7 linked regions of the Macaca mulatta genome follow. The protein of the gene in region 1 interacts with the protein of each later gene in a biochemical or structural test. Links are inferred from orthologs where the notes say so. Each region holds a gene or a part of one and is shown in the gene's direction. Other genes may lie near its edges.

Region 1 (4,174 bases):
GTGTATGATTTTATTCTTCCTTATAGTTTTAGATTCTGAATTTCCTAAAAGGACCTAATGTCATTGCACATAGTTATTACATGAAGATAACGAAACGGGGGATGGAAATCAGTGCCCTCCGATGGCCCCGAGCCGGAGTTAGTGACAGGGAGCGTGGCTCCTGCAACCACAGTCCCTCTTTTTTTTTTTTTTTTTTTTTTAAGACGGACTCTCACTCTGTTTCCCAGGCTGGAGTGCAGTGGTGCGATCTCGGCTTACTGCAACCTCTGCCTTCTGGGTTCAAGCGATTCTCCTGTTTCAGCCTCCCAAGTAGTTGGGATTAAAGGTGCCTGCCACCACATCCGGTTAATTTTTGTATTTTTTATTTATTTATTTTTTGAGACGGAGTCTCGGTCGGTATCCCAGGCTGGAGTGTAGTGGCGCCATATCAGCTTGCTGCAACCTCCACCTCCTGGGTCCCGGTTCAAGCAATTCTCCTGCCTCAGCCTCCCGAGAAGCTGGGATTACAGGCACCCGCCACCATGCCCAGCTACTTTTTTTTTTTTATTTTTAGTAGAGATGGGGTTTCACCATGTTGGCCAGGCTGGTCTTGAACTCCTGACCTCGTGATCCACCTGTTTCAGTTTCCCAAAGTGCTGGGATTACAGGCGTGAGCCACCATTTTGTATTTTTTTTAGTAGAGATGGGGTTTCACCACGTTGATGAGACTGGTCTCGAACTCCTGAACTTGTAATCCACCCGCCTCGGCCTCCCAACCAAAGTGCTGAGATTACAGGCGAGAGGTGAGCCACGGCGCCCAGCCACCACAGGTTCCTTTTTTTTGAGACGGAGTCTGGCTCTGACTCCAGGCTAGAGTGTAGTGGCGCCCTCTCAGCTCACTGCAACCACCGCCTCCCAGGTTCAAGCAATTCTCCTGCCTCAGCTTCCTGAGTAGCTGGGACTACAGGTGCGCGCCTCCACGCCCGGCTAATTTTTGTATTTTTAGTACAGACGGGGTTTCACCATGTTGGCCAGGATGGTCTCAATCTCTTGACCTTGTGATCCTCCCTCCTCGGCCTCCCAAAGTGCTGGGATTACAGGCGTGAGCCACCGCGCCCGACTGACAGGTTCCTCTTAAAGCCTAAACCGTGAACCCCAGGGAAAGGACCTGCAGGTCCGGCCACGCCCAGGCCTCCTTAGCGCGCCAAGATGGCGGCCGCCGCTCCCCGCGGTCGGAGCCGAGCGGTCCCGAGCGCTTCCGAGCATTCCCGAAGTCCAGAGAAACTCCGGGAGCGGCGCGGGCGGGAGCGGCCCCGCCCGGAACCTGGGAGCGGCGACGCCGGCGCGGGGGAGGGGAGGCCGGATGTGAGTGGAGCGGCCATTTCCTGTTTCTCTGCAGTTTTCCTGAGCTTTGGGTGGTGGCCGCTGCCGGGCTTGAGCTTCCAGTCCGCGGAGGGCGAGGCGGCGTGGACAGCGGCCCCGGCACCCAGCGCCCCGCCGCCCTCAAGCCGCGCGCTCGTCCGCCGCGCCCCGAGCCCGCCGCTTCCTATCTCAGCGCCCTGCCGCCGCCGCCGCGGCCCAGCGAGCGGCCCAGATGCAGGCCATCAAGTGTGTGGTGGTGGGAGACGGGTGAGTGCGCGGCCGGGGCCGGACTGGGGACGGCGGGGTCGGGCGCGGGCGGGGGTCTGGCCCGGACTGAGACCCAGGCAGGCAGGCCGCCCGCTGCGGGCTCGCGTAGGCTGTGGGCCTGGGCCTGTATCGCGGGGCGGGGGCCGCGGGCTGGCGCCCCCACTGGACCCTGACTTCCCGGGCGGCGCGTGCCAGGTTCCGGCTCTGGATGGAGGAGGGCCTTGCCGCTCGCCGGCCGGAGGGAAAAGTGAACTCCACCCTCCGGCTTTCTTCCCGGACGCCGCCCGCCGCCCTCCTCGGGAGCGCTCGTAGAGGAAGCGCTCTTGGAGATTTTGACCATTTTTCCAAAAAGGGACTCTTTCTTGTTTTTTGCATGAACCTCTCAATTCGCCTTGAGAGCTGTGTTGGGAACGCGGCGGTCAAGTCGATATTTGATGCATGCTTGATTGTGCGGGCCTCTTTGGTGCCCCCAAACTTTTCTTTAGAAAAATATATTTTTTTTCATAGACCGGTTCTCGCTGTGTTGCACAGGCCGGTCTCGAACTCCTGGGTTCAGGCGATCCTCCCATCCCAGCCTCCCAGAAATGCTGGGATTACAGGCGTGTGCCACCACGCCTGGCTAATCTTTAAAACTTTTTGTAGAAATGGGGGTTGGGGGTCTCGCTGTGTTGTCCAGGCTGGTCTCGAATTGCTGCGCTCAAGTGATCCTCCTGCCTCTCAGCCTCCAAAAGTGCTGGGGTGACACCGCGCCCGGCTTCTAAACTTATTTTCGAGCAGGATTTTTCAACTTACACTTCTGCCACTGTTAGGATTCTTAAAATTGTTGTTTTCGCCTATTCCGTGGAGAAAGTTTTTAAGATGCTGGCTGGGAGGAGCCGGCTGTAAGGGGCACTGTTTTTTCTTTTCTTTCTTTCTTTCTTTTTTTTTTTTTTTAACGTGGTGTGGTCATTGATAAACTGTTCTTTGCTTAACGCGTTAGGTATGGGATGTAGCAGAACTGGCCCCCTGTGACTCCAGGCATTGCTTTTCATGACTGTCTGTGGTGGTTACAGGCCCTGGAGGAAGACAAGACTTGTCTTATGCAGTTTTTTCTCCCATAGAAACAAGAATCTCAGTGTAACCCAAGCAAAATCGCGCGTCTCAGCGTTGCTTGTATAGGTTAGTGTTAGCAAGGAAGAATTACTACCAGTTTAATAAAACTCAGTGCAACTGGTACATGTTCCAGTAAAGTCCAAGGCAAGCTCTGGCATCACGGTTAACTGGTTGATATTCTTCAAACTTGTCATTAGGACAGATTTTGGTTCTTGCAATTCAGATGCAAGAAGGATAATTAGACAACTGATTTTTGTAAGATGCCCATCTGTCATATTTGTCTTGGAAATGTGAAATAATATTATTAATGCCTCATAATTCTGTTTATATAATAACTAAAAATTCTAACTTTCACTTATTTAAGAGTATGTAGGCTATCCAAGGGTTTTTTTTTTTTTTTTTTTGTGAGACGGAATCTCATTCTATTGCCCAGGCTGGAGTGCAGTGGCACAATTGCGGCTCACTGCAACCTCCGCCTCCCAGGTTCAAGCGATCCTCCTGCCTCAGCCTCCCTAGTAGTTGGGATTATAGGCATGCGCCACCGTGCCAGGCTAATTTTTGTATTTTTTAGTAGAAACGGGGTTTCACCATGTTGGCCAGGCTGGTCTCGAACTCCTGACCTCAGGTGATCCACCCGCCTGGGTCTCCCAGAGTGTTGGGATTACAGGTGTGAGCCACCGCGCCCAGCCCAATTTTTTTTTTTCTTTCTTTCTTTTTTTTTTTCTTTTGAGACAGGGTCTCACTCTGTTGCCCAGCCTGGAGTGCAATGGCGCTCTCTCTGTTCCTGCAACCTCTGCCTCCCGGGTTCAAGCAATTCTCATGCCTCAGCCTCCCAAGTACCTGGGATTACAGGCACACATCACCACACCCAGCTAATTTTATTTATTTATTTTTTATTTTTTTGGTAGAGATAGAGTTTCGCCATGTTGGCCAGGATGGTCTCAAACTCCTGACCTCAAGTGATCCCCCCGCCTCGGCCTGTTTTTTTTTTTTATAAGTCATATTGCTGATAATTATTTGAAAAATGCTGAAACTAAAACATAAGCATAGCAGATACGTTTATTTAATACTAACCGATTAAGGACCTCTGCTGTTTGAATTGGCTGTTTTATCTAGTCAGATAACTTGTCGAATGCCTATCCTGGAATCTGGACCCTCCCTTCAAATACCCACTCCACCGCTTACATGGGGTAACCCTAAGCACATCCCCCACCTCCCAGGAGAGGTGGTTCAGCGGGAGGTCAACAAGAGTAAACAAGATGTTGGTTATTAACTACTTTGCAGGTGCCCCTTGCTGAGTGCTTAGTAAGTGCCTGGTACTGTTACTGCGGTTTCTACGACAGAGGCTCTGTGAGGGAGTATTAGGTTTAAAAACCTGTGGCCTTGAGTTTTCAGTCTGTTTTTTTTTTTTAATTAGTTATGAGCATTTGATCAAGCACAGTTTTGTTTTGTTTTTTTTGAGACAGAGTCTCGC
Region 2 (4,024 bases), about 55 Mb from region 1:
TCACAGTTTTCTGTTGCTTTAGGATTGAAAGAACAGATTAGCCCGCTGGGAGCGTGAAACAGATTTAAAAAAAATCTGCATGATATTTCCTCCCAGTGAAATTAATTTAGGTTTAAATACAGGGGGAAGGGGCACACCTTGTCCTCGAGTCTCTTTCTGTCACACACCTGAGCATTTCCTATCCTGAAAGGGCACAGTCGGACTTGCTGCTAAGTCAAGTCTTTTGTGAGAATCTTTTTTGCAAGGCACAGTAGGAGAACCTTTTTCTCTTTGACACCCGGCTTTGTGTGGGCCTGATGACACGTTTGGACGGCTCTATTTCTTTGAAGGCCAACCTCAGAGGCCCATGGACGCGTCGGGCGCTGTCCGTGGCTGGGTTACTTAAGTGTAGCTGGGTTGGCTTCCCGGGTGTTTTAGGAAACGCACCTTCTTGCAGGGCAGGGGCCGTCAGTTCCAGAGCAACAAAGGATAATTTGGAGGGGAGTGGAAGGAGCGCTCCACAGTGGCTCTGTCATCCCAGGTTCCCTTCTGCCTAGCACCGTGGCCCTAGTGATCCCGCCTTCGCCCTCTGGATCCCCCACCCCCACTGTCTCGCTGCTCCAGAGCCCAGCGGGGCGCGGCGAGCCCCACCACCTTCCCCCACACCCTCCCTCCCCATCCCCTTCAAACCCTACGAGCAGCGCTGCGCGCCGCAGCCGCGCTCGCCCCGCGCCCCGCGCCGGCCTCCCCAGCACCCCGGGGACCCGGTCCCCGGTCTCGCCTCCCCGTGTCCAGCAGTTCACAGCCTCCCCCTCCAGCCCCACTGGCGGGAGCTGTCAAGCCCGCGGTAGCCGAACCAGCCCCCGTGCGCCCGCGTCTCCTCTCCTTCCTTTGTGTGTGCGCGAGCGGAGTTGGGGCGGAGGGAGAGGGGGAGGTCGCTCTGTCTGTCCGTCTCCCGCCGCCTCTGCCCGGGCTACTCGAAGTGCGGCCGGAGAGGCGGGAGCCCAGGAGAGGGTGCGGGAGCTGGCGGGGCGGCTCGGGGCCGCCGGGACGCCCTGGTCCTAGTCGCGCACAGGGTAGCGCGGCCGGCAGAGGGGCTCGGCGGGAGCCGAGATCCGCCCGTCCCGGCCGCCCCTCGGCCTCCCTCTGCTCCCACCTACCCCCTGACACCCGGAGAAAAGCGTGCAAACGCGCGGAGCGGGACGGAAACCACAAATAAATAGCGGCGGCGGCAGCGCGTCATCTGGTGGAGCAGGAAGTGCAGGCAGAGTCCGGAGGCTGGTGCTTTCTGCGCGTCCCCAGGACTTTGCCATGGGCTGGGGGCCGCGGAGGCTGCGAGCGGCCGGGCGAGGGCAGCGGCTGCGGCGCCCGCACCGGGGCTGAGCGAGCAGCGACGCGAGGGGCGCGCGGAGATGGCAGCGTCCAGCAACTCCAGCCTGTCCGGCTCTTCGGTGTCCTCCGGTGAGTTTCAGCCCGTCGGGCGCGGCTGCCGCGCCGGGTCTCGCCCCCTGCCCTCGCTCCGCACCCTGGGATGGACAGAGCCTACCTGTGGCCGTCCCGCCCGCTCTCTTGGAGTGGGGGCAGGCGTCTGGGGTGACACTTGTTTGGTTCGCTAGCACCTCGGTGCCCAGAGCACCTCCGCGCCTGACATCTGACAGCGCAGAGGTGGGAGAGCGGTGGTGCCCTTAGTGTGCGGACGCGGGTGTTCTCGGGCTTGGGGTGCAGCGGGCGAAAAGCGAAAGGAGCGGGCAGGCTCGCACTTTCTGGCGCAGCTGGAGCGGGGGCTGGCGGGGCGGAGAAGGTTGGGGTCAAGCTGAGCGCCCCGACCTGTTTGCCGTGCCTCGTCCGCTACCCTGGACACCCAAATCCGGAGCAGAGGGGAGCAAACCCTCGTTCCTCGCAGACTTGATTTTCTTTGTTTGTTTCAGAAATTAGCTCTGTGGAGACACTCGCTTGGGCATGGGTTTGAGACAGCAGCGATGAAGGGATGTGTCTTTCTGATCCTGATTGAAGTGGGTTAGGGGAAGGGAGGTCGAGCCCAGCCTCTGACTCTTGGCATATTTACAAGTTGTGTGTGTGTGTGTGTGTGTGTGTGTGTGTGTGTGTGAGAGAGAGAGAGAGAGAGAGAGAGAGAGAGACAGAGAGAGAGAGAGAGAGAGAGAGAGAGAGAGAGACTCCTTAGACATTTTCTAATAATACTGTCTGTAATTTCACCAGCAAGGCATACATTTTTTTATTCCTTTTAAGTAAGGTTGAGCAAAGGGAAGGCTTCTTTCAGCTTTTCTATGGTTGATCCTCGGGTCTAATTGAAGAGGAAAAAATTGCTAATGAATCTGAAGGAGTAGGAATCAATAGAAGCAGACCCACTGGTTTCTGAGTATGACAGGTTTCTAATCAGAATGATGCATTAGATAGAATTCCTCTACCTCTCTGGTCATTGAAAACTTTAATGACAAACCCAAAAGGACAGCTGATAAGACATTTAGTGTAGTATACGGTATTTAAGGGTCAAGAAGGTCATGAAGTCCTAATGGAAGTGTTCAATATATTAATATTGTATTAAGTCCCATTGGGCTGTTTTTATTATTATTCACAAATTAAACTCAAAGGAATAAACACCTTTTTGGAGGCAGTGGAGAGCAAGCAGGGCATAAAGGCAACCACAGCTTTCGATGTGTAACTCACTAAATCATAAATGCAAGGTGAATTTGACTAAGGTGCAATTGTGATGTGGTACAAGGTGATCACTTGAAAGCCATCTGTTATCTTTCTTGGCAGGTTTAGTTCCTGGGAAATGGCACTTCCTTTCTCGATCACTGCCAACTAATCGAAAACACATCGTTGTTAGGTGTGTGACATAGTTCAAGTTTCTAGTAGTAGCAGCCAATGAGGCAGAAGTCATATCTTATTAAGAGCAGCAACAAGTTGACCACCGTGGTTTTAATTCTGAGAACTCAGCAAATGCTACAGTTTATTTTTAGTACCCTCAAACCACTGCTGCTGTTTTTCAATTCATTTTGGTTGACTAACATTGAATTGAAAATACAGTGGTGTTGGCTTTCTATTAGCATATGGTTATTCCTCTCAGAAAACTGCCCACTAGAAAATGAACTGGTGGGGCAAAAGAAAAGACGAAAGGAGAAAGGACAAGGAGGTGGTGGTGTCACATGATTTACTGGTGGCATGAATTACAGCTGCTGTGGCATCTGAATTTCCAGATCTTGATGTAGCTTAAGAAGCCTGATTGAAAATCCTAACAGCCTTCGGAAGAATACATTGGTTTGAAACAACACAGTATGAGATTTAGATGATGTTAATTGCTTTCAGATAGGATAGAGATGCCCATGATGGTTCTTTTTCCTGCTTTATTTACCCGTATTTTTAATCCTAAGGGAAACTGGGAAATTATGTAAAAACTGAAATTCAAAAAGTGGGCATGGATGTATTGTTTGGCATGAATCAACCTAGCCCATAAGTTTATACTGCCTAATTCCCCAATTAATCAGGCACTTTGTCTTGAAAAATACAGCATTGTAGTTCTCTTTTTAAGCACACTTACCATTGTGTGGATCATGAATAATTCAGATGACACAAGCAATTCACACCTGTGAGAGGTGTTGGGCAGAAAGAATAGAGCCTATTTGTGGTGGCAGCTGGGCTCTCTCAGGCGAAGGCCAGAACCTGAGAAATTAGGGCACTCCATCAGTCTATTAATCACTATTTTCAAGGGCCTACTATGTGCCAGGCAGTAAGTTACAAACCTCAGCTTCAAGAAGGCTAAGGGGGAAAGATAATTATAGGCTTCCTTCTGGCTCTGAAGTTCTGGGAGTATTGTCTTTTAATTCTGGCTTCATCACCAACCAGCCAGGTATCTTGAAGTGCGTTACTTAACTTCTCCAAGCCTCAATTTCCTCATTTGTAAATGAGGCTGATACTGATGATAAGACCTACTTCATAGAGTGTCTTGGGGATTGAATGACATAATGTATGTAGAGTATTTAGCACAGGGCCTAGCATTTAATAAATGCTTAATGTGAATAAATTT
Region 3 (3,500 bases), on another chromosome or scaffold:
GTATGCTTAGGGTAAATAGTACTTTATTAAAAAGATGTGGTACTGAACATATTTATTTCATAAACTTTTTCATAATTCATAGAATCACCTTATTAGATTATAATTCTCTTGAGTTATATAAGAGCTAATGAGATTTAATGGTTTTGAAATGAGCTATCAAAGAAGCAAACTTTTTGAAGTCTGTTCATAAAGGGCGATAGTCACATTTAAGCCTATTTGACTTGTTTTCCTGACTTTGCTCATAATCAATGCAGCTGAACGCCAAGGGAACAGAAACACCCGCAGTAGTGACAGAGGAAGATGATGATGATGAAGAGACTGCTCCTCCTGTTATTGCCCCACGACCAGATCATACGAAATCAGTGAGTGTCGATTGGTGACCTAGGCTGTGTGTGTGCGTGTGTGTTTTAAAAAACAAGAGTCTGTATTTGACTTTCAGTGATTGCTTTTAGAAAGCCGTCGAGTTTAAAACCATTTAGTGTGGGGAAATTTAACCGAGAGATCTGTACCCAAAGACCACTCACCAAAAACTAGTTTTCTGAAGATTGAAATGTGATGTGTCTTTAAAAGTTAACGCACTCGAGGCCGGGCGCGGTGGCTCACGCCTGTAATCCCAACACTTTGGGAGGCTGAGGCGGGTGGATCACGAGATCAGGAGATCAGGACCATCCTGGCTGACATGGTGAAACCCCATCTCTACTAAAAATGCAAAAAATTAGCCGGGCGTGGTGGCGGCGCCTGTAGTCCCAGCTACTCGGGAGGCTGAGGCAGGAGAACGGTGTGAACCCGGGAGGCGGAGCTTGCAGTGAGCCGAGATCGCGTCACTGCACTCCAGCCTGGGCGACAGAGCGAGACCCTGTCTCCAAAAAAATAAATAAATAAATAACGCACTCACCTCACTGGGCTTTTTTCTTTCTGTAGTACGCTTTTCCAGTGGGTTCATCTATTTCCCAAGCTTTCTCTGTTCATCTCAACGTAGATGGCTGGTAAATCTATTACAGCTTTCCTCCTACCCAGATGATGTGTTTTAATCTCCCATTTTACACTCCTCTCAGCGCCTTCATGTCATTCAAAAGGCAGTTGAGAGTGAAATTCCTAACCAGGTAAGGGAGACTAAAAATGATGGCCTTAAATGGAGCCAGGAAGAGAGGAATGACTGCAGTTACCGTTCTGCTCTCTGCACTGATGCAAGTAGAGGGTGGGGAAGGTGCTGTGCCGTGGAATGGGCTGTGCTCGTGGCACAGTGGGCAGGCAGAGCTCCGGGGACGGCCTCTGGATGCCGAGCTGACGGCAGAGGACTGTTTTCTTTAGCCTTTAAACCTGGCTATTTGAAATGGGTGGTAGGCATTATAATTGTGTAAAAACTTTTGTGGGAATTAATAATCTTTCAACGTCAAGGTTTCCATTCTTTTGCATTTTACTTACATCTGTAGTAAAAACAGGATTTTTTTTTTTTTTTTTTTTTTTTTTTGAGACGGAGTCTTGCTCTGCCACCCAGGCTGGAGTGCGGTGGCCGGATCTCAGCTCACTGCAAGCTCCGCCTCCCGGGTTCACGCCATTCTCCTGCCTCAGCCTCCCGAGTAGCTGGGACTACAGGCGCCGCCACCGCGCCCGGCTAGTTTTTTGTATTTTTTAGTAGAGACGGGGTTTCACCGTGTCGGCCAGGATGGTCTCGATCTCCTGACCTCGTGATCCGCCCGTCTCGGCCTCCCAAAGTGCTGGGATTACAGGCTTGAGCCACCGTGCCCGGCCTAAAACAGGATTTTTAAACTGTGCTTTTTGATACATTGTTGTACCATTTTAGACCTGGTCACACTTAAATTTCATTCATGGACTTGCTGTTTTACTAGACAGCTTTTCAAATATATACATGCTATGCCAAAGAAAAATGTTTCATATTTTTTATTCTTAGTTACACATCTTTTATATCTGAAAATAGTGTTCTCATTATTTAGAACAATGGAAGAGATAACTTAGTTCAGGTTAAAAATCAAAGAACTGAATTAGTGTGCCAGCAAGAATATCTGAAAACATGATTCCTCAGACCTTAGTAATGAACTGTTTCTCCACAGATTTACACACGGTCTGTAATTGACCCCGTTCCTGCACCAGTTGGTGATTCAAGTGTTGATGGTGGTGCCAAGTCTTCAGACAAACAGAAAAAGAAGACTAAAATGACAGATGAAGAGATTATGGAGAAATTAAGTATGTTATCTACATTTTTTTTTTTTTTTTTTTTTTTTTTTTTTTTTTTTTTTTGAGACGGAGTCTCACGCTGTTGCCCAGGCTGGAGTGCAGTGGCGCGATCTCGGCTCACTGCAAGCTCCGCCTCCCGGGTTCCCGCCATTCTCCTGCCTCAGCCTCCTGAGTAGCTGGGACTACAGGCGCCCGCCACCGCGCCCGGCTAATTTTTTGTATTTTTAGTAGAGACGGGGTTTCACTGTGGTCTCGATCTCCTGACCTTGTGATCCGCCCGCCTCGGCCTCCCAAAGTGCTGGGATTACAGGCTTGAGCCACCGCGCCTAGCCAATTTATCTACATTTTATATCATTGTTAAATTGTTAACAGCTCTTAAAACATTTGGCCCAGACGGATTTTAACTTACACCTTACATTATGGCTTAAAGTATAAAGAATACATTGTTTTCTTATAGCAACGGTAGCTTCAATTACAATCTAGAGATGTCGCCGGGCGTGGTGGCTCACCCCTAAATCCCAGCACTTTGGGAGGCCGAGGTGGGCAGATCACCAGAGGTCAGGAGTTCAAGACCAGCCTGGCCAACGTGGTGAAACCCCATCTCTACTAAAAATACAAAAATTAGCTGGATGTGCTGGCATGTGCCTGTAATCCCAGCTACTTGGAGGCTAAGACAAGAGAATCACTTGAACCCAGGAGGTGGAGGTTGCATTGAGTCAAGATTGCGTCACTGGGGCGGGCGCAGTGGCTCACGCCTGTAATCCCAGCACTTTGGGAGGCCGAGGCGGGCGGATCACAAGGTCAAGAGATTGAGACCATCCTGGCCAAAATGGTGAAACCCTGTCTCTACTAAAAACACAAAAATCAGCTGGTGTGGTGGCGCGTGCCTGTCGTACCAGCTGCTTGGGAGGCTGAGGCGAGAGAATTGCTTGAACCCGGGAGGTGGAGGTTGCAGTGAGCTGAAATCATGCCACTGCACTCCATCCTGGCAACAGAGTGAGACTCCATCTCAAAAAAAAAATGCTAACTGACCATGCACTGTGGCTCACGCCTGTAATCCCAGCACTCTGGGAGACCAAGGTGGGCGGATCACTTGAGGTCAGGAGCAAGACTAGCCTGGCCAACATGGCAAAACCCCATCTCTACTAAAAACACAAAAATTAGCTGGGTGTCTTGGCAGGCGCCTGTAATCCCAGCTACTTGGGGAGCTAAGGCAGGAGAATCACTAGAACCCAGGAGGCAGAGATTGCAGTGAGCCGAGATCGTGCCACTGCACTCTAGCCTGGGCAAAAGAGAGAGACTCA
Region 4 (3,500 bases), on another chromosome or scaffold:
CCACTTATTTTTCAGTTTGTGAGGTTGGATCCAAATATGAAGACATGTATAAGAATGATCTTTGTGAAAATAGTTACTAATACTAAAATCTGCATGTTTAATATCCATTTTCTGCTTTGGCTGCACTGTGTAGAGTGTGCTGTCTGGAAGGTAGATGTTTGCTTACTATTTCACTTATGCCTCTCCAGGCTGTTTGGTTCTTTCTGTCATGTGTTCATTTCTTTTCTATAAGAAAAGACAGACCCATGGCTATCTTAATATTGATTGATTATTTTCTCTTTCATAGAAAGAGGCCTCAAAATAAGATGAAAAAGTCTCCTGTGGGTAGCTGGCGTTCCTTTTTCAACTTGGGGAAATCATCATCTGTTTCTAAACGAAAGCTGCAGCGGAATGAGAGTGAGCCTTCAGAGATGAAAGCCATGGCTCTGAAAGGTGAATGCCTGGGAGATTCTCACTTCTGCTGCTGTCATGATGGTCTTTGGTTGCTTTGGGCACATTCTTCACATATTGTTATGATCCGCTTCCGTAACATGTTCACAGTTGTGTCACACATATGGAGTGTCTTCTTTCACCAATTCTTTATTCCTAAACCGAAAAGTAATATTATATAAATGATATATAAATATGTAGAAGTATGCAATTTCTTTTCTTAAGGAAACTCTATATATAGTGTAAATGTGATTAAATTCCCATATACCTTGTATATTGTTGTAAATAAATACTGCTATGGTATCTAAATTTATCGATCTGTATTTTTACAGATCTAAAAAAATTTCAAAACTGTGTTTCAACATACCTTTCAAGTTTATAACTCTTTTAACTAAAGAAGGTATTATTTATTAGGAGTCTCATTAATAGAGTATTTTATTAGATCGAATAAATCTATTACTGTTGAAAAACTGCTCTTTTAAAAATCGTTTAAAAGCCATGTTCTATTGATAGTAACAACTTCTGAATCTAGGAAGGATAGTAGTACTTTCTTCTTAGGTAGTGTTTGAGGTGTAACGTTCAATTCATTTAATTCGTCATTCAGTTTGCAATCATGTAGAGCATGTGCTAACTATTTTGATAGCAGTCTCTGCAGATAGAAAATTAAGGTAGTCTGCCTTCCAAGTCAAATTGGGAAGTCATACGTGTAAGAAAGTGAATTATTAGCACAGAATCATAGTTACTGAAATAGTGGTTTAGGCTAGGTACAGTGGCTTACACTTGTAATCCCAACATTTTGGGAGGCCAAGGCGGGAAGATCGCTTGAAGCCAGGAGTTCAAGACCAGCCTGGGCAACAAAGTGAGGCGTTGCATCTACAAAAAAAAAAAAAAAAAAGATAAATTGCAAATAAGCGAGGCTTGGTGGCACACACCTATAGTCTCAGCTACTCTAGAGGCTGAGGTAGGAGGATTGCTTGAGCCCAGGAGGTTGAGGCTGCGGTGAGCTATGGTTGTGCCATTGTACTCCAGCCTGGGTGACAAAGTGAGACATTGTCTCTTAAAAAATAAAAGAAATAGTTACATGAGATAGTTATAGTAGGAATTGTCAACTCTTGTAGAGGAGGGGCTAGTGATTAGAAAATACAGCCTTTGATATGGGTTGTCAAGGAGAAGTAGGGATTCACCTAACTGACAAGGGACTAAGAATGGTATTTCAAGAGATGGGAGCAGAGTGAAAAGAAGCCAGCTGAGGGCTGAATTTTGGAGAGAAGCAATGTTTAAAGGTGGGAAAGGAAGAGCTGTCATGAGAGGAGAGTAAGAAGGAATGATTATAAAGGTAGGCAGAGAAAAAAAGATGCATGCTATCCTTAGCAGGGGAAGAGGGGGTTAAAAAGAAAGCATTCATAGTGCTGCCAGGGGGTTAAAGAGGACGAAGATATTTAGCGAATAAGATTCACATATGTACGTAAAGTTACCTGTGTTCATATCCCAGAGTTCCCGTAACGAATTACCACAAGTCGAGTGGTAAAAAATAAACATTCTTTTTTTTCCGTCGTGGCTCTGGAAGCTCAAAGTCTGAAATCAAGGTATCAGCAGGGCTGTGTTCTCTCCAAAGGCTCCACGGAAAAATCCTTCCTTGCTTTTCCCAGCTCCTGGTGGCTCCTGGCATTCCTTGACGTGTGGCAACATCCCTCCAATCTCTGCCTCCATGTCCACATGGCCATCTCTGTGTCTGTGTGTTCTTACAGGGACGCCAGTCGCTGGGTGTAAGGTCCACTCTACCTCCGGTATGATGTCATCTCAAGATATCATATTGGTCTTTACGAAATGTGAAAGAAAGCAGCATCTTAGTTAATCTCTGTGCTCAAATTCATAATCCTTTAGAAAAGAGATTTTTCACACGGGAAACCATTTAAGAACAGTGTCACACGCTATATAATAGAATACTAAATTGCTGTCGAAATGTACAGCTAATCACTCTCAGAAGTTTAAATGTATCAAGGAAAACACTGATCCCGTTAACCACGTATGTAACAAATAATAAATCTTCACGCTATTTGTTTTTTATTCTTCAGGTGGCAGGGCAGAAGGAACCCTCCGCTCAGCTAAAAGCGAGGAGTCTCTTACCTCTCTCCATGCAGTTGACGGTAAGACTGAAAGCTTCAGTCATTTCAGTCTATAATGTATTGCATGAAAGAATACTGCAGTTGAGTTTGTTTTTATATACCTGTGCTTAATAAGTAGGCTCTTCATTTCCTAGGAATACTAGTATCTATTTAGTATTATTCAGATTAAAATTCATTGATGCTTCCACGTGGTAGCAGTCTTTAATCTTTTCATTTTTGGCATGACTGCTATTCAGTTTACATAAAAATAGCTGAAATATTTCAAGTTAGCCATTTATATTTATTAATGTCTAGTGAAAACTTGTGTTATTACTATTTCCTTTAAATTTTACAATGGGAGCATAATTTTATAAAGTGTGTAATTAAGCAGTTTTGATATTTAGACCAGTAGTCTTTTGTCTTGCAAATGGCTTAACCTGGTCTTAAATTTCATAGATTGGATTGATTACATGTGGTCCTCATTTACAAGGATAATTAGCACTTGGAGAAGGCAACTTAAGATAAATCTTTGGCCAGACGTGGTGGCTCACGCCTGTAGTCCCAGCACTTTGGGAGGCTGAGATGGGTGGATCACCTGAGGTCAGAAGTTCCACACCAGCCTGGCCAATGTGGCGAAACCCCATCTCTACTAAAAGTACAAAAGTTAGCTGGGCATGGTGGCAGGCACCTGTAATCCCAGCTACTTGGGAGGCTTAGGCAGGAGAATCGCCTGAACCCAGGAGGCGGAGGTTGCAGTGAGTCTAGATTGCACCACTGCACTCTAGCCTGGGTGACAAGAGTGAAACTCTGTCTCAAAAAAAAAGAAAATCTTTTTAAAATAGGGACTAAAATTTCATGGTTAAGGGTGAAAAGAGGTTTGACTGCAGTGTAACTTAAAAAACAAAACTAAAAAATTGTGCAAATAAGTTTATATTCTCTCTTATTTAGCTAAAGTTAGATTATGGT
Region 5 (4,108 bases), on another chromosome or scaffold:
GCTTCCTCATCTATTTAGTGAGGCTAATACCGCTTACTTGTAGTTTTGTTGTAAACTAAGATAAAGCCTGACATATTACTCATTTTAAAATTGTACACACAGACCCTGCTTTAACCAGATGCCTGCAAATACTCAGGTTTTCCTTCTACATATAGAAGACAACTTATCAGCTGCCAGGGCTGAAGCCAGCAGATATGGCTAAATGACAGAACAAAGGATTATGCCAATAAAGTATGCAAAGCTTCCTTGCCCAGAATATAAATCAAACAGAGTAAAAAGCGAGTATATTGGCTCCAGGAAAAGGAGCAAGGACAGCCAGTTTTCAGGCGACCTCGAATTCTCTCCGTTTAGGATTCACCAACCCTAAGGTCCACTGGGTCCTTCAATCTGAGGGTCCATCCAGGGCCTTCCCTCCTGGGGTTGGAGATGGCTAGCTGCCTGATGGAGAGACCCCAGGCTGCTCAGCAGCAACGCCTGGCACAGCCGAGACAGCCTCGTAGTCTGCGATGCGGCGCTGTACCAGGGCAGGCATGAGCTGCACGTAAGCGGCCATGAGGCGGTGGTTGGAATGGATCAGCTTCCCAGCACAGCTGTGCAGACAGGCCTCCTAGAAGGAAGATAGGGTTTAAGCGGAGGACAAAGGTGTCCTGTCGGGCCCGCCTCCTTCCTTCCCCATGCACAGCCTAGGGGTGAGGGTCTGGGAAGGCCAGGACCAGAGGTAGGGGAAGTGGGGTGAGGAGGGAAGCAGTCTACCGCTAAACTCTGTTTGCAGCGTAACCTCCTTACACAGTTCCCCACCTCCTCAGCGTCCAGAGCTCGGTGGTGCAAGCTGGGCACACAACGCTGGAAGCAGAGTTCTGTCATCCGATTGTAGACCAACAGGAAGTCACGCAGCTGGGAGAAAACCGGGACCACGAACTCAGCGATATGTGCCCCACACTTCTACTCAAGGTCGCGCAGCCCAAAGTTTCCCAGGCCCGCGCACCATAACCCGAAGTTTCCAGCCCTCAGATCCCTGGCTCTATGGGGTTTCCGCGATGTGTGCAGGAATGCGAGCTGAACGTCTGGCCCCGAAACGACTTAGTTCTCACTCACGTTTCTCAGTTGCTGTTGCTGCTGCTGCTGCTCCATCACGCCACCGGCGCATGCTCTACGCCACTTCCTTTTCAGCTTCTCGGTGCCGCCCCGGAAGTAACCTCTCGCTGCTCTCGAGAACCAAGCTAGAGTATCGCCCTGCCCCGGCTTCGACGTCACTTCCGCCCTTATAATCTGCGACGTGGCCGGCTTCTTCTGCCCGGAGAGGACGTCACTTCCGCCGAGTCCCTGACCTGCTGCTAGGATCGCGACGGGAACTGGAGCCCGAGGTCCCCGCGCGGCCCGGGCCTGGCGCCCTGAGGGGAAGAGCGGCCCGGCCCGAGGTGAGAGGGACATGCTTGGGCGACGGGAAGTTGAACGCACAAACCTGTCCAGAGGGCAAGATGCCCCGAGCCCTGGGGAAGAATGAGGACACACCTGATGTCCAGGTGTATGGGGGTGGGGGCGGGGACTCACATACCTGGGAGACTGACTGTGGAAGGGATCACCGATATCCTGGTAAAGACAGGCTTTTGCCAGAGACTGGGAACATACACCAACTGATCTAACTAAGGCCTGGTGGGGAGGGCCCAAGGAAGAGGAGTTGTATGAGACGTAGGAGGGGAGACCCCCTGAAGGAAGGGGGAAGAAACACTAAAGGAGTGAGAAAGGCCAAGCAATGGAGAACAAACCTGAATGGGGGGTGAAGACCTGAGCCCTGGAAAGGGTCCATCTCCTGCTCAGCATAAACACGCCTGCATGGAGATAAGTTCTAAGAGAGCTACTTTCCCTCTTCACTGTTGTATTTTCATTGTCACAAATAGTACCTGACACAGAGTAGGCACTCACTAAATGTCTGCTGAATGACTGAATGAGTGTAGAATAATCACCAGAGGCCTGGTGAGGTTGGGGGCTTGTGAGAAGACACCGTGCTTTGGTGTGCCTGTGTACAAATGTGCATTTTGGAGGGGAGAAATACATATACCTGAAGAAAGGAATGATGACCAAACGCTGGGACACTCAAACCCTGGGACAGCCTTTAAAGAAATGACAGAGGAGGCTTCCTTCTTCTAGAGTGCTGGCCAGTGCCCAGAACTTCTGTGTTGGGCTTTGCAGGGTGCTGGGGTGGAGAGTTTTACTCCAATACCTTTCCTAGCCATGACGGACGGGATCCTAGGGAAGGCAGCCACAATGGAGATCCCTATCCACGGGAACGGTGAAGCCAGGCAGCTTCCTGAAGATGATGGGCTGGAGCAGGTGCTTCTGTTTGATTCTTCTAATTGTTTCAATTTAGGAATCCAATTTATAAATCCTGGGTTCTCACCCTCCATTCCAGTAGCCTTCCCCTGAACTTATCTGACTCCCTTAATTTTACATATCATTTTGATTCTGTGCAGACTTCCCTTGTGTAGTGTCTTTATGATGCTTGAATCCAAACTTGTTCCCACCTCCAAAATGCTTCTGCAGTCCCTATGTTCCTGAAGCAACCCCTCTTCTCTGGCCTATAGGACCTCCAGCAAGTGATGGTGTCAGGACCCAACCTCAATGAAACCAGCATTGTGTCTGGTGGCTATGGGGGCTCTGGTGATGGACTCATCCCCACAGGTATGAACAGAAACAGGAAGCTTGGGTGGAGGAGGGGACAGGAATGGTTTGGGGAAGCATAGGATATGTCTAGGAAAGCTTGAATAATGTCTGGAGATCTTAGGAACTTCTGCTTGTAGGAATCCCATGGACTCTCCTCAGCCCAAAAGCAACTCCCAGCATTGTCCATCCATTTCCCTTTTGCCACTTGGCCCCTGAAATGGCTCATTCGTCCTTTCCCTGCCACCACCTGAGTCAAGTTAAGACCTACTTCACAGGAATGCCCCCGCTCTACAGCTTGAGGCTGAGTTGGAACTTTGTGAGGCTTTTCAGAATTTTTAGATTCTAAAGTTTAGAGGAACAAACAGCCCTGAATCTCACACTAAGATTCCACATGGGAATGCAACCAGGTTTCTTGTTATCATGACCCACCATCCTTGACTCCTGCTGCCCCCAAACTCAGTGTATTTTCTTCTGTTTCCTCTGCCCCTATACACCAACAACTCCCTGCAAACCCCTCCTCTGGCCTCCAAGGAGGCCATATGTATATCAGGATTTGGTTATCACTGTGCAAGGTCCGAGTTCCTCCTAGTAAACAGGAGAATCCAGTTGTCTCTAGCATCTCCTTCAGGGAAGTCAATTTCATGTGCTGGGAGAGAAGCATGGGTGGGGCCACAGAGGTGTCTGGTGTATCTGAGAGAGGCTGGTGTCAGAGAACTTGATCCTTTAGGGTCTGGCCGCCATCCATCTCACAGCACCACTCCTGCTGGCCCTGGAGATGAGGTGGCTCGGGGCATTGCTGGAGAAAAGTTTGACATCGTCAAGAAATGGGGCATCAACACCTATAAGGTAGGATTTGAGCACCTCTCACTTCCCCAAAACTCGTTATGGGTACCTTTTTCCCCTTTCCTCATGATCGTAATATCCCATCTGTGGCTGAGAGTAGGAGCCTGGGTGGCGTTGGGGTAGATACCTGTTGTGTCGGGAGGCTATTAGGGTCTCTGATCTATTGCCCCGTTTCCCAATCAGTGCACAAAGCAACTGTTATCAGAACGATTTGGTCGAGGCTCACGGACTGTGGACCTGGAGCTAGAGCTGCAGATTGAGTTGCTGCGTGAGACGAAGCGCAAGTATGAGAGTGTCCTGCAGCTGGGCCGGGCACTGACAGCCCACCTCTACAGCCTGCTGCAGACCCAGCATGCACTAGGTGATGCCTTTGCTGACCTCAGCCAGAAGTCCCCAGAGCTTCAGGTGCCTCACCCAGACCAAAGAGGGTGGGGGAACTGGGCATGGGCCCTCCCAGGCAGTCATTCGTCATCCTCCCTCCCTCCTGCAGCCCACAGGGAGAACCCCTTCAGGGTGGGCCCAGCCCTACCCCCAGCAGCACTCACCTGTGGAGGCAGCCTAAGGGTTTGTACAGAGGTCCAGAAGTTGGAGGGGGTGGGGGAGG
Region 6 (3,960 bases), on another chromosome or scaffold:
ACATGGTTGGTTCCTGCCTTGCACCTTGAGCTGCTGGGATAGGCTCTAGCCACTCTCAACCCTGAACTGGAAAAATTGGGTAAATAATGATCTTGTTTATTTTGAGACACTTATCTTACTTATTTATTCCACTCACTCTGTTTATTCCACTCACTCTGTTTCCTGGCCTGGAGTGCAGTGGCATGATCACAGCTCACTTCAACCTCGACCTCCTCAGCTTAAGTGATCTTCTGCCTTGGTCTCCCAAATTGCTGGGATTACAGGCATGAATCACTGTGCCCAGGCTTTTGTTTTTTGTTTTGTTTTTGAAACAAGGTCTCACTCTGTCGCCCAGACTGAAGTGCAAAGACGTGTGGTCATGGCTTACTGTAGCCTTGACCTCCCGGGCTTAAGTGATCCTCCCACCTTAGCCTCCTGGGTAGCTGGGACTACAGGTGTGTGCTGCCATGCCTGGCTAATGTTTTGTATTTGGGTTTTATTTTTCTGTAGAGATGGGGTTTTGTCATGTTACCTTGGCTGGTCTCAAACTCCTAGGCTCAAGCGATCTGCCCACTTTGGCCTCCCAAAGTGCTGGGATTACAGGCGTGAGCCAAGGCACCTGGTCTGGCCTCTTTTTATTAATCTTTCTTAAATGTATGTATAAGTCACATTGATGTCAATGTTTGATATTAGAGGTGTTTTGTTCTTTAGAAGTTTGGTGATGTCTTGTGACCAGAAATATGCCACAGGAACTTAACTCTTGTTTATATCAATTCACAATCCTATATCAGTTCACAGTAGTTCAAACTTCTCCGTTATAATTTCTTTGTCTTCCTCCCATCCCCGTCCCCTCTCCCACCTCCCACACAAAGAAAACATAATACACGTCTGGCTCTGCGATCACACAACGTCGGAGAGTTTTCAACTTCAGCCCTTGACAACGAGTTTATAGATGCGGTGGTGCTTCGTTAACCTGAAGAGGATCCTCAGCCACGGAAGTTAGCCGTCTTTCTCCATCCTGGCTACACCATTAGCCCTCCCAGAAATAGTCCCAAAATTGTCTGGTAGAAATGCTGCACGGAAACTGCCGGCCAAGGACAGCGGACCGAGAAGAGTGACGCGACGCGATGACGTCACGCAGCAGCCGGGTGATTCCCCAGCCTCTGGCGTCACGCGCCGATGACGCAATCCCAGGCGTTCGCCCTTCTGCAGGCCAGGGTTTGGCCTCGCTCCTACGGGTCGGTCAGGCGCTCCCCGCCCCCTCCCACCTGCGGGAGGCGGGGCGGGCACGGCTCCGCCGGAGCCACCGCCGCGCCGGGGAGGGGGAAAGGCCGGGGGGGAGGGAAGGGGGAAAGGGCGGGGGTAAGGGGGAAGAAGGAGGAGGAGGGGAGCCAGTGAACTAGGCGGTCAGGCCCGCCGAGCGGCGTACAATAGCGCAGTTGTAGGCGGGGGAGGCGGCCCTGCCGCGGCTGCAGCCGGAGCCGAAGGTGGCGGCTGCACAGTAGACGCCCCCTCACGGCTTCCCCCACACGCTCCCGCCCCCTCGTTCGCCTATTGCGCCTCCCTCGCAGGCTCCGCCGTCCTCCTCCATAGACGCTTTCCCCCTCGGACTCTTATTCCCTTTTTCACGGAGCCCCGCGCTCTCGTGAGCCCCCTCGAAGAACCTGGTCTCCGCATCCAGTTCCCATCTCCTGCCTCAGAGGCCATCCGAGCTCTTCGCACCTCGCCCCTCAGCCCCCCACCGTTGCCCCCGCCCCGCGTCGCCTCGCTCCCTGCCGCCCCCCCATCATCCCTTCCCTCGCAGTTCCCCTGTCCTGAGGGGATCCCCGGCACTGGCGGCGCGGCGGCGGCAGGAGGGAGAAAGTGAAGCGGTAGCTCGCACACACTCGCGCCCTCACTCCCGGCTCGGCGGCACCCACCATCGGGAGGAGGAGGAGGAGCCGAGAGGAGCTGAGCGAGCGCGGAAGGTGAGAGCGGGCCTCCCGCCCGGTACCCCTCGCGTCCCGGGCTGCCAGGGTTGGGGCGCGGGGGTGCGGACGGGTGGAGTAGGGGTCTGGGCCCATTTATCTCGCGTGGCGGGGCCGGGCGCTTGGGCCGGCGGAGGCTCCAGGTAAGGTGAGGCGGGCGTCGCCCAGCGAGGCCCGCTCCCGTCGGGCCAACAAAGGCCCCCCGTGCGCTCACCGGCGGGGTCGCGGGTCTCAGACGCCGGGCGATCGAGAGACCCGGGAGAGGGAAGGGGCGGGGCGGGGCCAGGCCAGGCTGGGGCCGGGAGCCCCCACGGGTACCGGTCCGGGACCGAGTCCCTTCCGAACTTTGCAGTCCTGCAGAGCTCACCCTGTCCCACTACGAGGAGGCACAGCAAAGCGGCGCCCCAGTTCCTTCTGCATGGAATAAATGACCCCTTCTAGGCTTGGACAGTCACCTTTAGGGTTTTACTCCCTGAAAAATAAGGGCTGGTAGGACTTGACTTACGCAGCCCCTCCCCCACCGCGGAATATTCTGTAACTTGGGAAGTGAAAAACAACCGGGAAAGGAGATTTATAGTTATTTTATGTTCATTAATCCATTTGAAAAGACATGATTGTTGTAGTCTTCGCTATCCTATTTCAACAATACACATTACTGGGAATGTTTTGGAAGAATACTTGAGAAGTAGTGGGTTGTGAGCAACGTCCTTGGTTTTTAAACCCCTTGGATAATTGTTCTACTCTTAACAAAAACTGAACAGTGAAGGGAAGGGTTAGTTCTGTGGTTACTAATAAAAATTCAATTCGTTAGTCTTGACTTTAAGAATTGTTCTTGAGAAAAATCTTTAATTTTGCCTCCTACATTTGTGGGTTCTCTTTCAACTCTGTCAGGAGAAAGTAGGAATTATCAGTACAGATACCTCATCTCTTACCTTGTGGCTTCATCTACTTCTTGTGTGACCTTGAGCAGGTCACTTCCAGCCTTAAAAGCTCCAGAAGTTTGGTTTTATGCCCCAAAACGGGCAGGTAGCAAGCACCAACTCAGCTTTCAAGAGTCCACTGAAGAATTCCCACACTGTGAAATCTTTGCTGGCCTCCATCCTGTCCCTCCTCTCAGACAGAACTGACTTTTTCCCATTGGCCCGGTGAGATTTCTACCACAGCACTTACAACATTTTGGTTCCTATTTGGAAAATTCTAAATCACGTGCGTAGAACCCCCCCCCCCCCAACTAGCAACTATGCCTTTCAAAAAGGGTTTTGGGAACATTGACGCTGAAAACTTCCCATACTTTCCCTGAAGTTTATCCATACGCTTAACTACATGAACTCATGTGTCTGCCTTGGTGAATTTGCTAATTCAGTCAATTCATTTATCCAACATTACTGGAGTTTGGAGAGCTACTATGTTTCAGGCCTCTTGCTAAGGCTATGGGGATTCAGTCTATTAAGATATTCCCTGTCTTCAAAGAGCTCAAAGTCTAATGGGTGAGGTAGACAAGTAAACAATGAAGGTCTGCCCTAATCTCTGGGGGACTCCAGTTGTACAGGTAGTAGTGTGCAATAATTGAGGCTGCTGGACCTGTTTTACAAGTCTTCTCTTGGCCAAAGTGAGTCCTGCAGGGAAGGTGACCTGCCTCATCCATAAGAGGGCATTTGGTAAAAAGCTTGTTCAGTTCAATTCAATATACATTTACTAAGCGCATGTTTTGAGTCCCTGTGCTAGGTTTGAAGGAAGCAGTGCCTCAAAGGAAGGTACTGTGCATCCAGAAAGATTTCCGTGAAACAAAACCTTACCACATCAATGCCCCCTACCCCTGACTCTTCATATTCTGAAGATAAATTTCAGACTAACATGGAATAAGAAACTCTCAGGCATCAGACCACTGCCTGCCTTTGCAGCCTCACTTTCTGTGGCTCCCCTGCCACTCTCATCTTCGCTTTTGCATGTTCTGTTTTCTTCCTGGATGCTTCCCTTCCACCCTTTACCTGCCTGTGGAGGTGTCCTTGTTGGG
Region 7 (3,500 bases), on another chromosome or scaffold:
TGATGTATGTGTGAACCACAAAGTGCTTGTTATTGTAAGTTTTAATATGTAAAATTAACCAATGCTACATATTTAGATTCTATTTTTAGGAGTAGCTGTGAAGTTGTGTCAAAAGCAAATTGTGCAAAGCTAAAGCAAGGGATTGCTGTACGGTTCCATGGAGAAGAAGGCATGGTGGGTATAAAAGATGATGATGTAGAAATCACTGTATGTAAAGAAAGATTGAAATGCCTTTTGAATAAAGTTTAATGTTCAGTTGATAAAGGAAGAAACTTTATATTTAAATTTTATTTAGAAAAAAATTTCCCAGTATAACATATTTCTGTTGATGCTTAATTTTATTTCTTGAATTCAGGGTCAAGGTGTTGTGCGTGAATGGTTTGATATTCTGTCCAATGAGATAGTCAATCCTGATTATGCATTGTTTACCCAGTCAGCTGATGGTAAGTTGTATGGTCTAGTTGACTTTTTCTGCAACTTGTCACATTTTTCACACTATTTCAGTACATTTTATTTTTGATTTCCACAGCAGACCTGTGAGCTAGGTGGGATATTCTTATTTTATAGATGAGAAAACTGAAATTCAGAGTTTTTATCTGCATTCACACAGTTAATAAGTAGTAGAATCATAAGTGGAACCTGACTCAGTCTAACCTTTTTTCCTCTTAACAGCTGGTTCCCAGATGCTTATCTCAAGGACTAGTGTTGGCCCCAAGGAGGTTTCTTATCAGTCCTTTATAAAATAAAACTAAATTTGCTCAATTTAAGGATTATCCTTTAGTCTACTTTTTTTGAGTTAGATTTTTCATTTCATTAAAATTAATGGTGCTTGTAGATGGCCTTAAACAAATACAAGTCCCTATTTGGAAAAATAAAAATTTGCTAACTCTATTTGAGTTTCCAAGTTTTAAAATATATTGGTTAGGAAAACCAAAGTCTAGAAATCATGATGTAAAATTTCAACTCTTAATCTATTTATATATACTAACTTTATTTTCAGTCATTTTAAGAGATCAAGACCTGGCTACTATAAAGCTCTTATTTAACCATATACAACAGATAATTAACCCTCCTTGTTGAAATGGTGCTTGTGACCTATAGAGTTTAATTTGCTATTGTAGACTAAATGGAAATAGTTATCTCATTTGTGTGAGGCATATTTGAGAGCTCTCTAACTTAATAAAGACATATTCCAAGTGAAGGTGGGATTTCAGTTTTCAAATGCTTTGCACAGTCGCTCGTTTTTCCTGAAAATCTTTTCTTTCCCCAAATGTTTACATTCTTTTATCAGGAGAGAATACTTCATTAATGGTAGCTTCTGATTGCTTCCAACCAAACTAACAGCAAATCCCTATTTGATAAGAAGGATGATTTTAAGGGAGGCATGTGGGAGCGGGCTGCAACAGAGCTAGGCTGCTGCAGGCATTCATCCCTGTGATGGGCTTCTTGGATACACTTTGAGTATTTGCAATTGCATAGGAACATGGAACTGCCTGCTTTAACTTGGTAACCTTTGATTCTTTGCTCTGAGGTGAATTTGGTGTCTTTGTGAATGACAAGTTCAATGAACCCCTGAGTTTAATTATTTAGGCCTAATCTTTGAAGCTAGATCTAGCATTATATTTTAGACTTACTTCTTCTCTTTATATCCTTTATTCTAAGTCTACTTAGCTTAATATCTGAAAAACAGATTTGGTGTGGAATCATTAGTTGAGGTACTTCCTTAATGTTATAGATTTGTAGCAGAGCAAATGTTGAAGTACATAGACCCATAAAGTTGTTGTTGTTGTTTTTTTTTTCCTTTGAGACAGAATCTCACTCTGTCACCCAGGCTGGAGGGCAGTGGCGCAATCTTGGATCACTGCAGCCTTGACCTCCTGGGCTCAAGGAACTGTCTCACCTCAGCCTCCCGAGTAGCTGGTATGGCTAAGGTGGGAGGATCACCTGAGCTGGGAGACCAGTCATGGTGCCTAGCTAGTTTTTGTATTTTGTAATTTCTCTATTCTTTTCGTGGAGACGAGGTTTCACGATGCTGCCCAGACTGGCCTCAAACTCCTGAGCTCATGCTGTCTACCCGCCTCGGATTACAGGTGTAAGCCACTATGTCTGGCCAGACATTTTGATTTATGTCTTTTGTAAGCCATATCGGTCTCCTCTTTGGGGTCATAGTATTAATAAATTAAAATCAAGCTGAAATATTTTCACACTCTTAGGTTTAGTTGACAAAGAGAATTACATATAGGAATCAAGAATTTCTAAATGTGGCAAATGTTTGGGTAGACCTGATATCTATAATAATTTTTTTAAAAACTTGTTTTCTAATGAAATTAAGATGCTTACAGTAGTGAAATAGTATAGTTGTTATGAATTTGTCATTTGGGTTTATACATGGTGAGAATCTTGACTGCTGTTCTTTTGATATGATCTTGGGGCCAGTAAACTTAATTTTCTGCACTTTCGTGTCCTCATTTAAAAATGGTGATACCTGGCTGGGTACGGTGGCTCACGCTTGTAATCCGAGCACTTTGAGAGGCCGAGGTGGGCAGATGACAAGGTCAAGAGATTGAGACCATCCTGGTCAACATGGTAAAACGCCGTCTCTAACTAAAAATACAAAAATTAACTGTGCATAGTGGCATGTGCTTGTAGTCCCAGCTACTTGGTAGGGTGAGGCAGGAGAATTGCTTGAACCCAGGAGGCGGAGGTTGTAGTGAGCCGAGGTTGCGCCACTGCATTCCAGCCTGGTGACGCGGCGAGACTCCGTCTCAAAAAAAAAAAAAAAAAAAAAGATGATAACCTGTGTTTTGTAATGTGGTAAGAATTCAGTTAGCTAATATGTGAAAATGCTTTGTCGGTGCCTGGCATATAGAAAGTATAAATATTATATGCTATTATTATCATTACATGAAAATGATATTATTGTATACTAGGATTTTTCTGAGAGCATGAAAACAGTTGGAGGAGTAATAGCTATATATATGTTTTTTGAACTTAAAATTTATCATAAACTTTTAATTCTATTTAGAATTTTCTTACTCCTTTTCTGAAGATTTTCTCCCTATATGTTTCCTTTTTTTAAAAAAAAAGTCTCCTTATCCTTTTTAAGTATCTAGATTTCTCAGAAAGTAATTAGAGAGGGAATTAAACACAGAGCTAGGGGAGGAAAATAGAGTCATCAAAAATCTTTGTAGCCCTAATCATTCATTGTTTTAACAGGTAAAAAATATTTGTGGTTATTCTCAGAATATTATATTTTTGGGATTATGATTATATTTGTCTTTGAAGTCTGCCTTTATCTCACAAAGCTTTGCTTTGGCTTTTAATATCAAGTCTTGCTTCATGACAGGGAATTATTCTCCAAAGGTCCTTAACAGTGAATGATGAGACTCACATGACTTACTAATACCATAGGATTCCAAATTTGTACCTTAATATCTAAATAAACTAGTCAGCAGTTTAACCTGGTGTCAGCACTGAGAAATCAAAGATCAATGAAACAC

What was found.
Region 2: the proteins of RAC1 (region 1) and CHN2 form a complex in vitro, tested with the Homo sapiens proteins (2 studies listed by BioGRID). The link is inferred for Macaca mulatta from reciprocal best matches to the Homo sapiens genes RAC1 and CHN2.
Region 3: the proteins of RAC1 (region 1) and PAK2 form a complex in vitro, tested with the Homo sapiens proteins (2 studies listed by BioGRID and IntAct). The link is inferred for Macaca mulatta from reciprocal best matches to the Homo sapiens genes RAC1 and PAK2.
Region 4: of the proteins of RAC1 (region 1) and ARHGAP32, one has a biochemical effect on the other in vitro, tested with the Homo sapiens proteins (3 studies listed by BioGRID). The link is inferred for Macaca mulatta from reciprocal best matches to the Homo sapiens genes RAC1 and ARHGAP32.
Region 5: the proteins of RAC1 (region 1) and ARFIP2 form a complex in vitro, tested with the Homo sapiens proteins (2 studies listed by BioGRID and IntAct, with this or other methods). The link is inferred for Macaca mulatta from reciprocal best matches to the Homo sapiens genes RAC1 and ARFIP2.
Region 6: the proteins of RAC1 (region 1) and PAK1 form a complex in vitro, tested with the Homo sapiens proteins (17 studies listed by BioGRID and IntAct). The link is inferred for Macaca mulatta from reciprocal best matches to the Homo sapiens genes RAC1 and PAK1.
Region 7: of the proteins of RAC1 (region 1) and HACE1, one has a biochemical effect on the other in vitro, tested with the Homo sapiens proteins (5 studies listed by BioGRID and IntAct, with this or other methods). The link is inferred for Macaca mulatta from reciprocal best matches to the Homo sapiens genes RAC1 and HACE1.

Annotation. Positions count from the first base shown.
Region 1 is NC_133408.1:44,637,067-44,641,240, reverse strand, and holds the start of RAC1 (ras-related C3 botulinum toxin substrate 1), read left to right. Parts: upstream 1-1,374; 5' UTR 1,375-1,573; coding exon 1,574-1,608; intron 1,609-4,174. UniProt on the Homo sapiens protein: Plasma membrane-associated small GTPase which cycles between active GTP-bound and inactive GDP-bound states.
Region 2 is NC_133408.1:99,150,391-99,154,414, reverse strand, and holds the start of CHN2 (beta-chimaerin), read left to right. Parts: upstream 1-1,224; 5' UTR 1,225-1,391; coding exon of another isoform or gene 1,392-1,440; intron 1,441-1,525; exon of another isoform or gene 1,526-4,024.
Region 3 is NC_133407.1:2,349,721-2,353,220, forward strand, and holds part of PAK2 (serine/threonine-protein kinase PAK 2), read left to right. Parts: intron 1-254; coding exon 255-362; intron 363-2,072; coding exon 2,073-2,205; intron 2,206-3,500. UniProt on the Homo sapiens protein: Serine/threonine protein kinase that plays a role in a variety of different signaling pathways including cytoskeleton regulation, cell motility, cell cycle progression, apoptosis or proliferation.
Region 4 is NC_133419.1:129,340,124-129,343,623, reverse strand, and holds part of ARHGAP32 (rho GTPase-activating protein 32), read left to right. Parts: intron 1-286; coding exon 287-432; intron 433-2,504; coding exon 2,505-2,576; intron 2,577-3,500. UniProt on the Homo sapiens protein: GTPase-activating protein (GAP) promoting GTP hydrolysis on RHOA, CDC42 and RAC1 small GTPases. May be involved in the differentiation of neuronal cells during the formation of neurite extensions.
Region 5 is NC_133419.1:59,303,476-59,307,583, forward strand, and holds the start of ARFIP2 (arfaptin-2), read left to right. Parts: upstream 1-1,308; 5' UTR 1,309-1,418; intron 1,419-2,190; exon of another isoform or gene 2,191-2,230; 5' UTR 2,231-2,232; coding exon 2,233-2,331; intron 2,332-2,582; coding exon 2,583-2,679; intron 2,680-3,388; coding exon 3,389-3,507; intron 3,508-3,687; coding exon 3,688-3,909; intron 3,910-4,108. Other genes in the region: TIMM10B (mitochondrial import inner membrane translocase subunit Tim10 B), read right to left, coding at 431-607, 799-894, 1,096-1,131. UniProt on the Homo sapiens protein: Plays a role in constitutive metalloproteinase (MMP) secretion from the trans Golgi network. May have important functions during vesicle biogenesis at certain cargo subdomains, which could be predominantly utilized by secreted MMPs, such as MMP7 and MMP2.
Region 6 is NC_133419.1:77,888,564-77,892,523, reverse strand, and holds the start of PAK1 (serine/threonine-protein kinase PAK 1), read left to right. Parts: upstream 1-1,160; 5' UTR 1,161-1,217; intron 1,218-1,285; exon of another isoform or gene 1,286-1,783; 5' UTR 1,784-1,946; exon of another isoform or gene 1,947-2,089; intron 2,090-3,960. UniProt on the Homo sapiens protein: Protein kinase involved in intracellular signaling pathways downstream of integrins and receptor-type kinases that plays an important role in cytoskeleton dynamics, in cell adhesion, migration, proliferation, apoptosis, mitosis, and in vesicle-mediated transport processes.
Region 7 is NC_133409.1:80,964,548-80,968,047, forward strand, and holds part of HACE1 (E3 ubiquitin-protein ligase HACE1), read left to right. Parts: intron 1-76; coding exon 77-174; intron 175-355; coding exon 356-443; intron 444-3,500. UniProt on the Homo sapiens protein: E3 ubiquitin-protein ligase involved in Golgi membrane fusion and regulation of small GTPases. Acts as a regulator of Golgi membrane dynamics during the cell cycle: recruited to Golgi membrane by Rab proteins and regulates postmitotic Golgi membrane fusion.